Linked DNA regions of Astyanax mexicanus. The protein of the gene in region 2 interacts with the protein of the main gene of each other region in a pairwise test. Links are inferred from orthologs where the notes say so. Each region holds a gene or a part of one and is shown on either strand. Other genes may lie near its edges.

What was found.
Region 1: the proteins of htt (region 2) and pias4a interact in binary tests that used the Homo sapiens proteins (3 or more experiments, as listed by UniProt). The link is inferred for Astyanax mexicanus from reciprocal best matches to the Homo sapiens genes HTT and PIAS4.

What each region holds. Positions count from the first base shown.
Region 1 is NC_064423.1:23,645,996-23,653,962, forward strand, and holds the start of pias4a (E3 SUMO-protein ligase PIAS4-A), read left to right. Parts: upstream 1-4,862; 5' UTR 4,863-4,985; coding exon 4,986-5,012; intron 5,013-6,308; coding exon 6,309-6,693; intron 6,694-6,824; coding exon 6,825-6,909; intron 6,910-7,046; coding exon 7,047-7,088; intron 7,089-7,216; coding exon 7,217-7,307; intron 7,308-7,561; coding exon 7,562-7,690; intron 7,691-7,967. Other genes in the region: scamp4 (secretory carrier-associated membrane protein 4), read left to right, coding at 354-471, 1,495-1,677.
Region 2 is NC_064414.1:46,261,209-46,268,436, forward strand, and holds the start of htt (huntingtin), read left to right. Parts: upstream 1-4,228; 5' UTR 4,229-4,578; coding exon 4,579-4,676; intron 4,677-6,354; coding exon 6,355-6,438; intron 6,439-7,228. Other genes in the region: C-type lectin domain family 4 member E, read left to right, coding at 156-407, 557-681, 1,318-1,421, 2,492-2,630.

The DNA of each region.
Region 1 (7,967 bases), on a different chromosome or scaffold from region 2:
ACATTTTAAGTTCCACTAGCTTTGATATTGTAATGCATTGTTGCTAACAGCAGAATCCAACCACCACATAAACTGACACTGAAAAGATGGTAAAATATTCACTTGAGTTAACTATAGGAAACTATAAGAAATAGTTTTTAACCTGAGTTCTCACAACAATTTTAAACAGTATTTTAAATGGTCAGATCACTGAATGAGCTCAGCTGTTCCATCAGAGAAGACTGAATTCTGATCATCATCACATGATTCGGTGTGCAGATAAATAGGTGAAAGATACAAGACCTGGTAATGACTAACCCAGTTTACCTCTGTCTTTCTCTCTCACTCGCTCACCCCTTCATGCCTTGCTCTAGTGGTTGGATAGCAACAGTGATGTTTTTCGGCACTAACGTGGGATCGGCTGTGGTTATGCTTTTCTCGGCTGTGCTGTTCACTGTAAACACAGTGTTCATGGGGCTGGTTCTTATCAGGGTAAGTCTAGTGCAAAGCATACTAAACTGCCTATATAAGACACACCTTAAAGGAATATTCCAGATCTTCATATAACTTATGGCCGTTAGTTAATTATAGATGTGTATGGACTTTTTTTTCCATTTTCTGAGAACTGTTAACATTGGCAGTTTTGAGTCAGCAGTTTTCAAATTCTTTTACTAGTTTTAAGAAAACGCATCAGACATAAACTAGGTAAAAAAAAATGCTTCTTTAGTGTGGTCTTTAGGACCACAGGACCCTGTTTATTCCACCTAATTTTCTCGCAAAGACAGATGTTGTAATGCATTTACACTGTATGTATAAACACTAGCATGCAGAAGAACGTTGAACTTGTCTTTTGAAGACTAAGAATGTTAGCGCAGGGAAATCAGCAAACTGGTATAGACTCAGCTCCCTGTTGCCTGTCATATTAAATAAATGAAGAAATTAATGCTATAATCATGTAATGTAATCTGATAACTTATTGTAACTTTTATAATATATGCAAGGATTAACTCTAGTATCAGAATTTATTTTTCTATTTTCCAAAAGCCTATGTAGTCCAAAATTAGGCTTACGGTAATTCCGTCTCAGAAATTGACCCTTATTGTATAAAGTCGCATCAAACAGTCCTGTGTCTACACAAAACAATCTGAGGTCCACATTAACAATTGTGTGTTCTTGTATAACAAATCTCCCATCTAATACACTCTCTTATAGAGTATAGTATTCTTTGTAATGAAAAACCTTTTAGAGGAATGTTTTTTTTTTAAGTACTCTGGTGGACATTAAGTTGGTTTCACACACTGTTGAACATAAAGTGTGGTAGTATATGGGATTCTAATTGGCTCTGGCTCTAAAACTAGCTTTTCAGAGATTCTGATTGTATCTGCTTCAGTTTGACTTACTGTCCCAACCCTGTTACATGTTTTTGCCATTTTTACCCAAACCTAATTGAATCATTGCATAATGTAAGTATCAAAAAGAGTGATAAATGTTGCATATTTTGATTTCTCTTTTCAGGTTCACCGGCTTTATCGTGGAGGAGGAGGCAGCTTCCAGCGTGCCCAAGAGGAATGGACCACCGGTGCTTGGAAGAGTGCCCCTGTGAGAGAAGCTGGCTTCAATGCCATCGCTGAGACTGGCCCAAGTCTTCCTCAGTACCCTGCTGCTGTGCCCAGTTATCCAGAAAGTGGACCATGGTGATGAACCATTCCAGACTCCAGGTGGAGCCAGAGTGCTCTATTTGTCCCCCTGCGTATAGCAGATATCTTAACTTCATGCCTCCACATGAATGACATAACAGTGAAACTGTGCAAGTCTAGAGAAAGGGGACTAAACATCCCGTATAGGAATCCATTGTACTTTTGTTTACAAATTACGTTGCCAAACCGGTTACACAATGACTTGTGCATATGTGAAAGAATGTAAGTAATGTTACTTGATAAAACAATCATGCAAATAAGGTACTGCTCACAATCAAGCCGTGGCAGCTTTAAAAAATTTCATTGGGACTGTGAAAACACTTTTAATTGCAGAATTGCTGAATTATAACACTACGGTTTTTTTTTTCACCAAGTGATTCCTTACACTACAGTAAGTGCACCCATTAACTGTGCAGCAGACCTTCTTTGACCTTTTGCTGAAAATGCTACATATTTTCAAGAAAAAAAACTGACACGAGTTAAAGGTGTTTAACTATATTTATCAAATACTGATATGACTGGCAGTAGCTAGACCTTTTATACATCAGAAATGTGCATAAGAATTGCATGCTTTTTATTTGCAGATAAGATTTTATTATATTTTTTTGTTCTCAGTGCCATGCCTTTTCTATCTGCTGCTTTGTGCCTGATCTTTAAAACTGACATGCGCCTTAATAGTCCTAGCATGTGCAAAGAATTATCTTTCCAGTTGCCTGAAGTTCTGCAGTTCCGTGAGTGGATATGGCCACGTCCATTTATGCAGAATTATTATTATTGCTATTATTATTTGCTCAGTGCAGTCAGCACTCTTCTTCTTCCTCCTAAATAACCATTACTTATGATTTCAGGCCCTGCTGTTGAAGTATACATTCCTTATGCCAATGTTTGTTCCAGCTCTCTTGTTTCAGTGTGTTCCTATTTGGAGCACCATGTTTACAGAGTGGCCATTTGAACCTGGGTTTTGAAATATTGTGAATTTAGTTGTTTTACTTTATTTTTATCTCTTGAATTTTCCATTTCATCTCTGGGCTCCATCTCATGTATAGTGATGACTAACATATGACTGTAAAATAAATGCATTGAGAAATGTATTATTGAGACAGCTAACTTAATAAAAACATTCCTTTTCAGATTGAATGTCTTTTTTGTAGTCTCTAATCAACAACATGTCCTAAAACAGGAAGGGGCAGTTTTCAGTCTCTTGTTATTTCTTGAATATTGATGACCGAGTTATAGTTTGCTAAACGTTAAACAGTACTTTTAACCATGAATTCTTTAGTGAATATTTAATCCTAACAGCTTTGGTCCAGCAAACACCTCTAAATAAGTAAAGTACTATCCTACAGAGCAGAATTTTGCTTATTATGGCAGAACTGTAGACAAGAAGACACCTGATACAGCATCAGCAATGTATCACCAGCTAGGATTACCTGGCAATAAATCTGGTGCTAAAAATGATTTCAGTTTTTGTTTAATGCAAAATGTACAAAACAAAGCAAGCACTAAATAAGTACTAATTATTTAAGTGTCATGAAACATGAGTATCATCACCGAATCAGTAATAATGAGTGTGACCTGGCAACCATGTAAACTCATGTAAGCAATCCTAAAGTCTTAAGATCTTAAAATAAAGGTATTAATGCCCAAAAGGCATATAAGAAGATAGCAAAGCTTTCTTATGGAACAATGTTAAAAGAAAGTTACATGACATAATTAAAATAATAAAAAGTTATGAAAACTAAGAACAAAAATAAAAGAAATAAAGTACTAAAAGTATGCAACGGAGATTAAGTTAAACTGTTGGGGAAGCCCAGGTAAACAGATATGTTTTCAGGTTACAGTCTGGACACATCTCACAGCTTCTGGGAGTTTATTAACAAAGTCAGCATAATGTCAAATACATCTCAATGGGCTCTCCTTGTTAAGAAAAACGTAATAAGAAAGATTTAGGTGATCAAAAATGATTTCGGTCATGTCCACATATAGTACAATAACTTGGTAACATAATTATTGTAACAGGCCTAACAACTGTATATAAAAAGAATGTGGTCTGTGAATGTCTCGCCAATTAAATAAAAACAGTAAAAATAAATATATTTAATGATAGCTGCCATTCAGCATTTTAATTATATTGATATTGTTGTACTTTAACCCCAGTATGCAGGAGAACAGAAGAACCACAACTAAAAAGTGTATTTAAAAGTGTATAAATAAAACACAGAGCAACTGCTCCCCCGCATGTCTGCACCAGGCCTCAACTGGTTCAGTCATGTCCTTCTTCTACACAGTGAACTGTTCCTAAGAGAGCCTGACATCAAACCAACAGAAATAAACACCACAGCTCTATCACACTGACTACAATTGTGAGTATATTGCAATGTATTATCACTTATCATTTCAGCAAGAAAAAAGAATGCTTACAGAAATTTTACCCCAGCCCTGAATAATTAACTATAATTGTAAGGGTAAGAATCTGGTGAAAATGTCTTTTTGATTGATTTGGATTTGAATTCCCTTAATATGTTCAATCCAGCTTTAAGAGGGTTTGCTTTTCTTATCAGACTAGTGGTGACAATTCATAGCCCTGATTCTTTTACCCCGCTCACTGTTCAACATTCCCTTTGCTCCCATCCCCCACCGCTCACACTCAACCAGTAAAACACGGCATGGAGTTGGGTGGGGAATGTGCACAATTGATTTTTCCATTCCATCTCCTAGTCCAGTCTTATTTCCTCGCTCCTGCTGATTAAACCATAAGTTCAATCTCATCTCAGTTTATGATAACAGCGTTTTATATTGCCGAAAGCATTCGTGGCCTTTTAAACGCGTTGGTGTGAAACAAGCAGGTAGAAATTAAACAAAAGCGTTTATTCCTGAATGTTGGGTCGCCAAAATCCCGACATGGATTTTCCCACGCGGGTCGGAGCCGGCGGAGCCACGCGCTCCCGTCCACTTCACGCTGAGCGTCCTCCGCCCGCTCTGAGCCTGGACTGAAAATACACCGGGCTTTCGCCCTCTCTCCAGACTATTAAAGCAGGCACGCCGGAGGATGAAATTCACACAGTGTTTGGACGGGTTTACAACAACCAGCGGCCTATGAGGACGGATAGACCTGCCTGCAAGTGCTCTTTTTTTAAAAGAGCGCTGTGACTTTAAACGCACGAAGCCACGCCTCGCTCCAGACAACACCGCCCACTTAGTGACGTTCAGGGCGCTGATTGGACGCGGCGGGCCGTCTCCGAAGGCGGTCGGCTCTTTTCATTGGTCTGCAGCTGCCGTTCGCCTGAGGACTCTCGCTGCTTTGTGAAGATGGCGGCCGAACTGGTAGAAGCGATGGTGAGTGGATGCGCGCTTTTGTTTTTCTTTGCGGGAAATAAAAGTGCTTTCCGGGAGCAAAGAGGAGCCGGTTGATGTTGGTTTCGGCAGCGGTGTGAGCGCTGAACAGCGTGTCACGGCGGTTTTATTCCCGCTCTTAGCCAGTGAACTGCGTTGGCAGTTGAGCAGGAGCTAAGCTGGTTAGCTAGCGGCTAACGTTAAATGAATGATGGGACTTCAAAACAGCTCAACTGACTGAGAACAGTAGCACTTTGCTCATACAAAACCTCGAGCTGAGGTCCGGGCTTAACTAAACATCCGCAGCTCCTGCTTAACAGGGCATTGGCGGGTCAGGCTGGTAGTCTGACAACTAGTATTAAAGCTGGGAAATGAGTGATCTGCTGCTCAGCTCATCCGGTGCCCCCTCCGCACTCGCAATAGCCTCCAGTAGCCGTTTAGCTAACCTAGCTAGCGTTAGCTAGCACACACTGTATGTACTACAGCAGCAGCAGCGTGTGTTTATGATGGGCTAACAGCTACCAAAGAGCTTCACAAGTAGACTGCTGAGTTGACTAAGACAGTTCATTAGTAGTGTTTTATGTATTATTGGTTTAGTAGGTTAACTGTGAACTATGAACACGGTGATCATGGTCATTTAGTGTAAACAGATGAAGCATTATGAAGGGCTTGCGTAGCTACAAACTGGCGGGTAAACCCTAGTTAGCTACTCGCTAGCTTAGCTAGGTTAGTATGAGATGATGTATGTAGGCTGGCATGGTGTTATGCTATTAGCTAGGTAGCTAATAGCTTTGATAGCTATCATAAACCGTTAATAATCTACTAATACTGTTATAAGCAAGCTATAAGACACGAGTTATATAGAAAGCTCTGGAATAAAGCTTCGTTGATTTTGCCAAATTAAAAAAAAACAGGAATATAATTAAGAGGAAGATGGATGATCACAAGCCATCAAACTATGCTGAACTGCTTGAATTTTTGCCCCAGGAGGAAATATTGATTTCTGAAAACATTGTAAATATAAACTTGTTTTCTTTGCATTATTTGAGGTTTGTCAATAGATTAAATATTTACTCACTAAATGTCAGTGCTTTCCACATGTTTACACCATACTGTTATTTAAATGACATTTATATCCGATGTACAGCTGTTTTCTTTTTTAAGTGATCAAAGGCATAATGGAAATAATTGTTAACTAATCGACTAATAAAAAAAATCATCAGATTATTTATAGACACTCTAACTGTGTTTACTCTTATTTTTCTTTTCTCTCTCCACGCCTGCTACTCCTCTGGTCAGAACATGGTGAAGAGTTTCCGGGTGTCTGACCTGCAGACACTGCTGGCCTCGATGGGGCGCAGTAAAAGCGGTCTAAAGCAGGACTTGGTGGGGAGAGCTTTGAGACTGGTGCAGACGGAATACAGCCCAGAGCTGCTGAAGAACGTCCGCCAGCTCTATGAGACACGCTTTCCCAAGTCGACTGGATGGTTGGCTGCCCGTCGCCCTGAGGGGGTCCCGGCAGTCTCCTACCCTACCCTAAACAACTCTCCTCGAGGCACAGCCCAGGGCACAGACTACCTCAATGGCATGCCCAAGCTGGCCGCACCGCCAGCAGCCGAAGTTAAATTAGTGCCCTTGCCCTTCTACCATAACTTAGAAACGTTGTTGCCACCTACAGAGCTAAGTAAGTCATGGTTTTGTTTTGGTTTGGTTTTCACGAATTGTCACTGGTTTTTTGTTGTTGGATGTGTTCATTGACCATTAGAGGTTGAAAGGCTGATGTTAGACTCTATTAAATCTTGCTATGCTTTGCAGTTGCCCAGAACAGTGAGAAACTTCAGGATAGTCAGTGTGTTTTTGAACTAACACAGGGCCAGGTGGACCAGATCCGAAATTCCGGGTGAGTAATAGCTGAAAAAGGGCAAATAGACATAAGTACCTTTTTATTATAGGTAGTTTGTTTTTAGTATTATCTGTGTTTCCACATCTATATCTTGTGTTTTTAAAAGAAATGCAAAACTGTTTTTGTGTTCTCAGTGAACTTCGTGCAGGGGTGAAATCAGTTCAGGTGGTTCTTAGGTGAGTCTGTTTTAATGTGTCTTTTTGTTTTGTTTCTTTATTTGTGTGCTATTGGATTATTGGACTGTGTAGATGTGTTGTTTTCAGTTCTAATTTTTTGAATATTCATCCTTTTTCGTCTTTTTCAGAATCTGTTACACAGACTCCATTGGTGTTCAGGAGGACCAGTACCCTCCGAATATTGCTGTCAAAGTGAATCAGTCCTACTGTCATGTCCCAGTAAGTGCATTCATGTCGGTTTCTTGAACTTGTAAATTCAGACCTAATGCACTTTACTTCTAACTCGCAGATTTAATTTGATTTGATTTGATTTGTGATTCATAACGGAAATTAAGAGAAGTCTTTTTTTTTTTTTTTACAGATTTTATTCAAAATAGTTTATCTATGCAATGTTTGCAAAAAAACATTTCTCTGGGATGATGTTTTTTCAGAATTTCTATTAAATATTTACCTTCGTCACCTGTCATTTCCAGGGTTATTATCCTTCAAATAAACCTGGTGTGGAACCTCGTCGGCCCTGTCGCCCTATAAACATCACACCCTGGCTTCATCTCTCCACAGCCACCAACAGAGTTACCATCACATGGGGTAACTTTGGAAAGGTAGATTGGCTTTTAACAATTTTATTCATATATTTCTTATATGTGAGTAGGCCGGTCACGAAAACGTAATTTTCAGGACGATATATTGTCCTATATTTATTGCGATAAACAATAAATTTGTCATTTTAAAGGGGGACTATATGAAATTCTTTTTTTTCGTGCTTCTGGCCTCCCAAAGGAACTGTGCCACAGTAATAAAATACTAGCACAATATTACTATTACACCATTTTACAGTGAAATTAACTTTTTATTAATAAGAACAGACATTGGGCTTCC
Region 2 (7,228 bases):
TTAGAGGAGAAAACGGTTATTTAAAGCATGAAAGAAAACATTCCATTACAAAATTTGTCTACATATCTGAGTTCTGCATAATAAGGGTGTTATGAATGAAAATGTGTGTGTGTGTGTGTGTGTGTGTGTGTGTGTGTGGGCGGATATTTCTTTAGAAGCTGAGTCAACTCTGAACAAGTGCATGAGAATCTCTGCAGGATGTTTGGGGCTACTGTGTGTTCTCCAAGCTGCTACCATCACCACACTGTGTCTGAAGCACATGTTTGATAAAGAACATTTACAAAACACTATCAATAACCTTACTATAGAGAAAGACCTGTTACAGACCAGTTACACCAGTCTGACCACGGCCCAGCGTCTTTTACAGAGCGAGAACCAGAGGATAGCACAGAAGTTCAATCATTTAGGTAAGCTTAGTTTATTATGTTTCTTTATTTAAAGGTAATAATTCAAGCTTTTTCTTCTGATGACTGTTTGTTCGGACAGTTGTTACACTAAATATATCTATAAATAAACTAAATGCATAATAATAATTTAACCACTGCTCTTCCTCAAGGTTGGAGGTATTTTAACTCCAGCATTTACTACACCTCTACTGAGAAAAAGACCTGGGCTAAGAGCAGACAGCACTGCAGGACGATAGGTGCTGACCTGGTGATCATAAACACAAAGGAGGAACAGGTGAGAGACAGAGAGAGAAAGATTGTACTTTCAATGTTTGGGGTCTTTAGTTCCAGTAAAGTGCTGCAAAATGATTATTGACATAATACTGTAAAGCATGTGAAATCATGCTTGGCAGTAAAGTAAATGTTACTTGCTCTTAAGACCTACACCCCTGTGTCCAGGAAAGCAACCATTATATAAAATATAACTCAGTACCCAACAGGAAATAGCCCTGGCAGGCAAGAATCCACACTAATGGTAAGTTAGGCGTGGGAAGACACGCCCAATATGCAAATTAGGGATGTTTGTAGGCTGTTTCTGGTCTCACAACAAAGCAGTAAATGTCCGTAAAATGTTTTAAATATAAACACCTGTTTTTCCCACAAATGTTACAGTTATATATACAGATGACAGCTGTTTTCATAGGACATCCCAAGATGCATTGCGTTCTACAGTTTTACAGAAGAACATTGTTAAAGAGTTATTTACTGTATGATTTTAGTGTAGAAAATACTGGGTGTAGATAGATAGATAGATAGATAGATAGATAGATAGATAGATAGATAGATAGATAGATAGATAGATAGATAGATAGATAGATAGATAGATAATAAGGGGCACATGCTAGTAATGTATTTTACTACATGTAAACAGATTTTTGTATCAGGATTTTCCAGAGAGGATATGTGGATTGGTCTAACTGATGAAGAAACAGAGGGAGTTTGGAAATGGGTAGACAACACGACACAAACTCTGGGGTGAGAGACTTTTTATTACTTTTATTACTTAAATGAAGAAAAATAAATATTATTGAACTTTTACTCCTATTGGCTGTTAATGTAATGGTTCCTGACCTAGATTTTCAGATACAAATACCTGGAAATAAAGGCTGAAATGGGATTGACCTAAATTTTCCAATACTTTTGGAGAGGAGTGTATTTATAATTTACCATTAACAACAAAGCTCTACCCAGTGACACTGAGATTTTAAGGGTTTCAACATAATTTGCGCTGGCCAAACAGAAAAAAAGCATTTTCAATATTTTAGTCATGTCTAAAACCTCCTGTTATGTTGCAGATCAAATTGGCCAGATTTATAGTTTAATAATATTGCATTTAAACATCTAAAATTAATTTCAGAATATATATTTTTTTAATTACTGTGCATGTAAATGGAAAATTACTAATTTAATGTAATCGCAACATCCTATCAAATGCACACACTTAGGGTCATGTTAATCCTTATTATAACAAACATGATATGATTGCATTTGTGTTTCAAAGGAGAAGTGAACTATTATACGTAAACCGTGTTTAATAATCCAACAGTTTAATTATATATAGGTTTCTAGGAATACTTTTCTACTTTTTGGATGGTTAAACATGCACTGAGTGAAATGAATCCAGAAACGTTTTTGTTGTTTCACTCAGTTCAACAAGATTTAAATCATAAAAACAGCTCTTATAAAGGCCCACATCATGGAATACTCAAATCATTTGGAATACTCTTTTTTTTTGCTTTTATGTATTTAAATGAAAAAAAAGTTTTGTAAGGTAAACACTGCTTCAAAATGTACATAATCAATATGCATACATTGTTGTTTTTTTTTTCCCCCCCAATACAGCTACATGTTTCTTTGGGTAAAATAAAAGTAACAGGTAGCAATGGAGCAGTGATGGGCTGGCAATGATGTTGTAGAGGGTTACACTGCTGCCCTCTGGATGCCAGATTTGAGTAGGACTGAGAATCACTAAGAGATGTTGTGTTTTATGTGATTTTGGGTGAAATCAGTAATTAAACATGAACCCTACTCCTGTGCTGTTTCAGGTACTGGATGGAAGATCAGCCCAACAACTTTAATGGAAACCAAAACTGTGCTTCCATACAAACGACTGGGATAAATCCGTTAAGAACCTGGAATGATTACCAGTGCTCTTATGAGAAGCACTGGGTGTGTGAAAGATAGATTACACACCCTTTAAAATAAATTATTCTCATTTCTTTAAGTGGAAAATGCACTTTTTTTTTTACTTTAGCTTATGTAAACTGAACATGTTCTAATTTGTATATATTTTATATTAAGTTGTAGTCTTCGTAGGCAGGATTTTTGATTTAATTAGTCCTATTTATATTAATTTATTTTTTATTTTATAAATAAATGCTAATTTAATAATTTTATATTAGTTGTGAGTAGATTGTGTTTTTATTTTCTCTTTCAGTCCCTGTCTTTAATATCTTTAAATGTTTGGCTGCAATGAAAATGAGGGTCACTCTCATTGTACCTCTGAGAAAAAAATATTAGTGATTTATTGATAGATTGATTGAAAATTAGTAAACTAGGAGAGGAGCAGCAGGGGAAGTGGCACTGCACATAAAATACAATAAGCCACACAACTAAAGTTTAGAATAAATAATTAACACTGGCCCTTTGTGTATAAGAATGGAGTCCAGGGGTAACACTGTATATACAATTGCTTAAATCATCACAATGTGTAAAGGCATTGATGGCCTGTGGAGCGACATCTGTTAGTTAGTGTTAAACTGTTAAGGCCCCTGAAAGCCCGAGGGAAAAGCTGTGTTTGGGTGGGTAGTAAATGCAGAGTTTAACAGACTGCATGTACTGCATGAGTTTTTCAGGTCTTGTCTAAAACTCATAGTCATGAAAACAGGCAGCTGTCAACACACAGGAAGGCCAGAGCAGAGAACAGACACATCCATAATCCAGACCTATAAAAGAAGAGAAAAGGGTAAAAAAAAAGGTTAAACCAGCCATACAAACACAGTTTAGGCTCCTGTGGGAGCAGCACTAGTCTGTAGTAACCAATTAGGGCCAGCAGAGGGAGACATTGTTACAGTTAGTGAATGAAGACGTATCTATGTTTCTTAAGTTTATTTATTTGATGTCTTGAATAATTTTGACAATGTAGAACATCATAAAAAGAAATAGTTTAATTTAAATACATTTAGACGTTTGATTGGTACTCTACATGGTTTGTCTAATGAACTAAAATCCAAAAATGCAGATTTTATTTGCTATAGAGACAGTTCACAGTGGATTGATATTGAATCATACTTTGCTCAACACACCATATTTTCTGTTCTCTATTGTTCTTATTATGCGTTCTACCTATCCATTCACTTCTATTAAAATCTAATCAATTTATGTATGTATTTTATGTGTCTGTCTATCTATCTGTTCAATTCAATTCTATTTATGTATTTACTGTATATTTTATATTTCATATATTTATTTATTTATTCTGACAGAACCGAATGCTACTGATACAGTGATCTTTTTCCGTGCTCAAATGACCATCCATCCATCCATCCATCCATCCATTTTTCTGTTTTCCTATATCGCCAAGTATATCGTTATCGCAAATATTGTGATATTATTTTAGAGCCATATCGCCCACCCCTACCATCCATCCATCTATCCATCCATGTTGTATAGAAGGTATACCAAAACATGAATGAGCACGGACTTTCAGGAATGAATGGGTTTCTGCTGAGGGGGTGGGAGGACTCTTATTTTGACAGGTTTCTCTGTTCGCTGTGTGTATTGTGCTCGCGGGTTGCTGCGGTGTAAAGATGGCTGTGCGGATCAGACCCGCTGTGAGCTGCGCTCCGCTCGCGCTTTCTGCGTCCCGCTGACGTCCCGGCGCGCGCGGAGTCCGGTAACGGGTTTAACGGCCGAGGCTCACGGTCGCTGCGGGTTTTCCCCGGTACTGTCGGGCTGCTGAATTCCCGTGGGCTGTTTCTCGGAGCGTTGCTCGCCCTGCGCGCTGGTTAGCAGGCTGGCTAACCCCACAGGTGTAAATATTAGCTGGCTAAGCTAAGCTAAGCTAGTTAGTACCTAGCCCGCTGGCTGGCGGCTGTTCCCCCGGAGCTCGCCGGCCGCGCGGCCCGCTGTCATGGCCACCATGGAGAAGCTGATGAAGGCCTTCGAATCGCTGAAGTCGTTCCAGCAGCAGCAGGGCCCGCTGTCAGCCGAGGAGCTCGTCCAGAAACAGTAAGTCTGAGGGGAGGGGACGATAACGTAGCTACAGCGTTAGCTGGCTAGCCGTGTCTCCACCAGTCTAAACCAGTCATTTAGCTAGGTTAGCTAATTAGCTTAGCTAGCGTTATGTGTTGACATATTTAGCCAGTTAGCTTAGCTAAGCTATGTTGCTAGCTGTCAAGCTGGTAGCCAAAGACGTCAGCTGACCTGCTTAGCTACCTTACTAACTAGCTAACGGTCAAGATTTGCTTATACCAAATAATACAGTGTTAGGAAACGTTAGTTAATTTTATTAAATAGTAGGTTAGCTATTTGGCTATCTGTCTTTAGGAAAGCATTTTCAGTGCATACAATCTAATGACCCTGACTCATTTATCTGCAATAGCTAGCTGATAAACACCTTAATGGCTAGTGATGCACTGGCTAATAAATCAGTGCTTCTTAGCTTGTCTTAGCTTGTCTTGTGCCCAGTAAAAGCATTAGGTTAGCTGTGTTATGTTTTTCCTTTACATCAGCTTAATTATTGCCTATTAGATATATTATTAGATATATACTGAAGCAGATATCAGGTGTGCTAGAGCTGGAAGTGATGCAGGTATTCATCTGTATATTCTTGTTTATATAGCTACATAGCTGTATATCGTTGCTAAAAATAAAAATCAAGCATCTCCGTTTTTGACAGTTTAATTTTTAGTTAATTTGAACAAATAAACATTTTCACACTTTGTCAAAGTTTTATTGCTCAATGCACCAATAGAAATTCCCCAAGATAACCTAATATAAATTATTTTTACCTTGACTTCAATTTAAAGTTAAGAAGGTTTTATCTTTCTCCTGTTAAGCTGGGAAAGGTGCAATGATTAGTCTGTATATTCTTATGTATATGGTAATACACTGAACACTTACACAAAGAAATAACGTAGTTATACGTTACACAAACAAACGTAATTATATTATATTGGGATGTTATGTGATAGACAAACACAAGTAGCAATTAAGTGTGAACTGAAAAGAAAATGGTGCATGGTTTTTAAAACCTCTATCTGTAAAATGGAGCTGAAATCATGTGTGCTAGGTCAGGAAAATGTACAATCTGAACATTCTTGCGAATTGTGTGTATATGTGTGTGTGTATATATATATATATATATATATATATATATATATATATATATGTATATGTATATATATATATATTTGTATATATATATATATATATATATATATATATATATATATATATATATGTATAATGTGCCTTTGTCCTGTATTTTTATATTTTGTATATATTGTATTCTTACTACCAAGAGGGATTATGCACCCAAGTTTTTCAATCATCTACCTACCTTAAATCTGTAGTCAGAGAGTTCTTACTGTTTAAAAGACTAGAGTAATAAAAATAATTACCCTTTTTAACTTTAAAGTAGTTTACACAGAAACTTGTTATGCATGCCTCTGAAGAGCCTGTCTTGGCTGTATTGCTGGAAGAGTATAAAGAACAAATGATCCTCAGAATGATTCCTCAGAAATGAGCTGAACTCTTTTGTTGTACATTTGTAGTGCAGTTTATTTCTTATTTGTTTTTAGATTAAGGAACAGTCAGAAATATAATAAAAATAAAAATTCTCATTTTGACCATGTTTTTTCAGTTGTTTATTTGTTAATTGCTAAAACATGTTACTTCTTTGTAGGAAAAAAGATCTAGCCACGACCAAAAAGGACAGAGTGACTCATTGTTTGACGATATGCGAGAACATCGTAGCACAATCTCTGAGGTATGCAGTACTTGTTGTTTGATCTTGTGAGTAACACATTTATAAAGCAATTCAGATTAAGGATTAACAGATTATTATTATTAATATTTATATTATTATTATTATTTTTTAATTATTATTATTATTATTATTATTTTTATTTATTATTTTTTTTTTTTACATTTTATTAGTCATTAAAAACAGATTATTAAAAGTATCAACTAAAGACATAAAACTGATTTATTCAGGGACTCAGATTAACACAGGGCTCAAAACACCACCACTCACTAGGAATGTGGAATAAAAGACCTTTGGAAAAATGTTATCTGGATTTACTTATTTCGTTTTTTTCTCAAGGAGAACAAATGTGTAGCACAATGTGATGGTTGTAGTTAAGGTTTTTAGGATGCCTCACATTTTAAGCATTTTTTTTTTGAATAATGAAAATATTCTCAGAAAATAACACTCTAATGTACACCAAATATACTGAAGAAATAATAATGTGCTGTTTGTTTGTAGGCCTCTCACAATAATCAATTTTTGGATGATATAAATAAATGGTTTAATTGTATGGTTTTATGGTGCTGCTTTTCACCCCTTGAAGGCTGTGAAAGATCCACCAAATAACTTGTACAAATGTTCTCTGTCATAGCAATTGAGAAAAACAGTCTACTTCAGCTGCAGAAGAATGTCTTGCAGTGCTGTTACTGTGTCTTAATATGTCATCCTCTCGCTGACTAAAGAAGCTTGCTGCTATGATGACAGTTAATTAAAGTGATCTTTCTGTAGTGTCCAGACCATGACTATATTA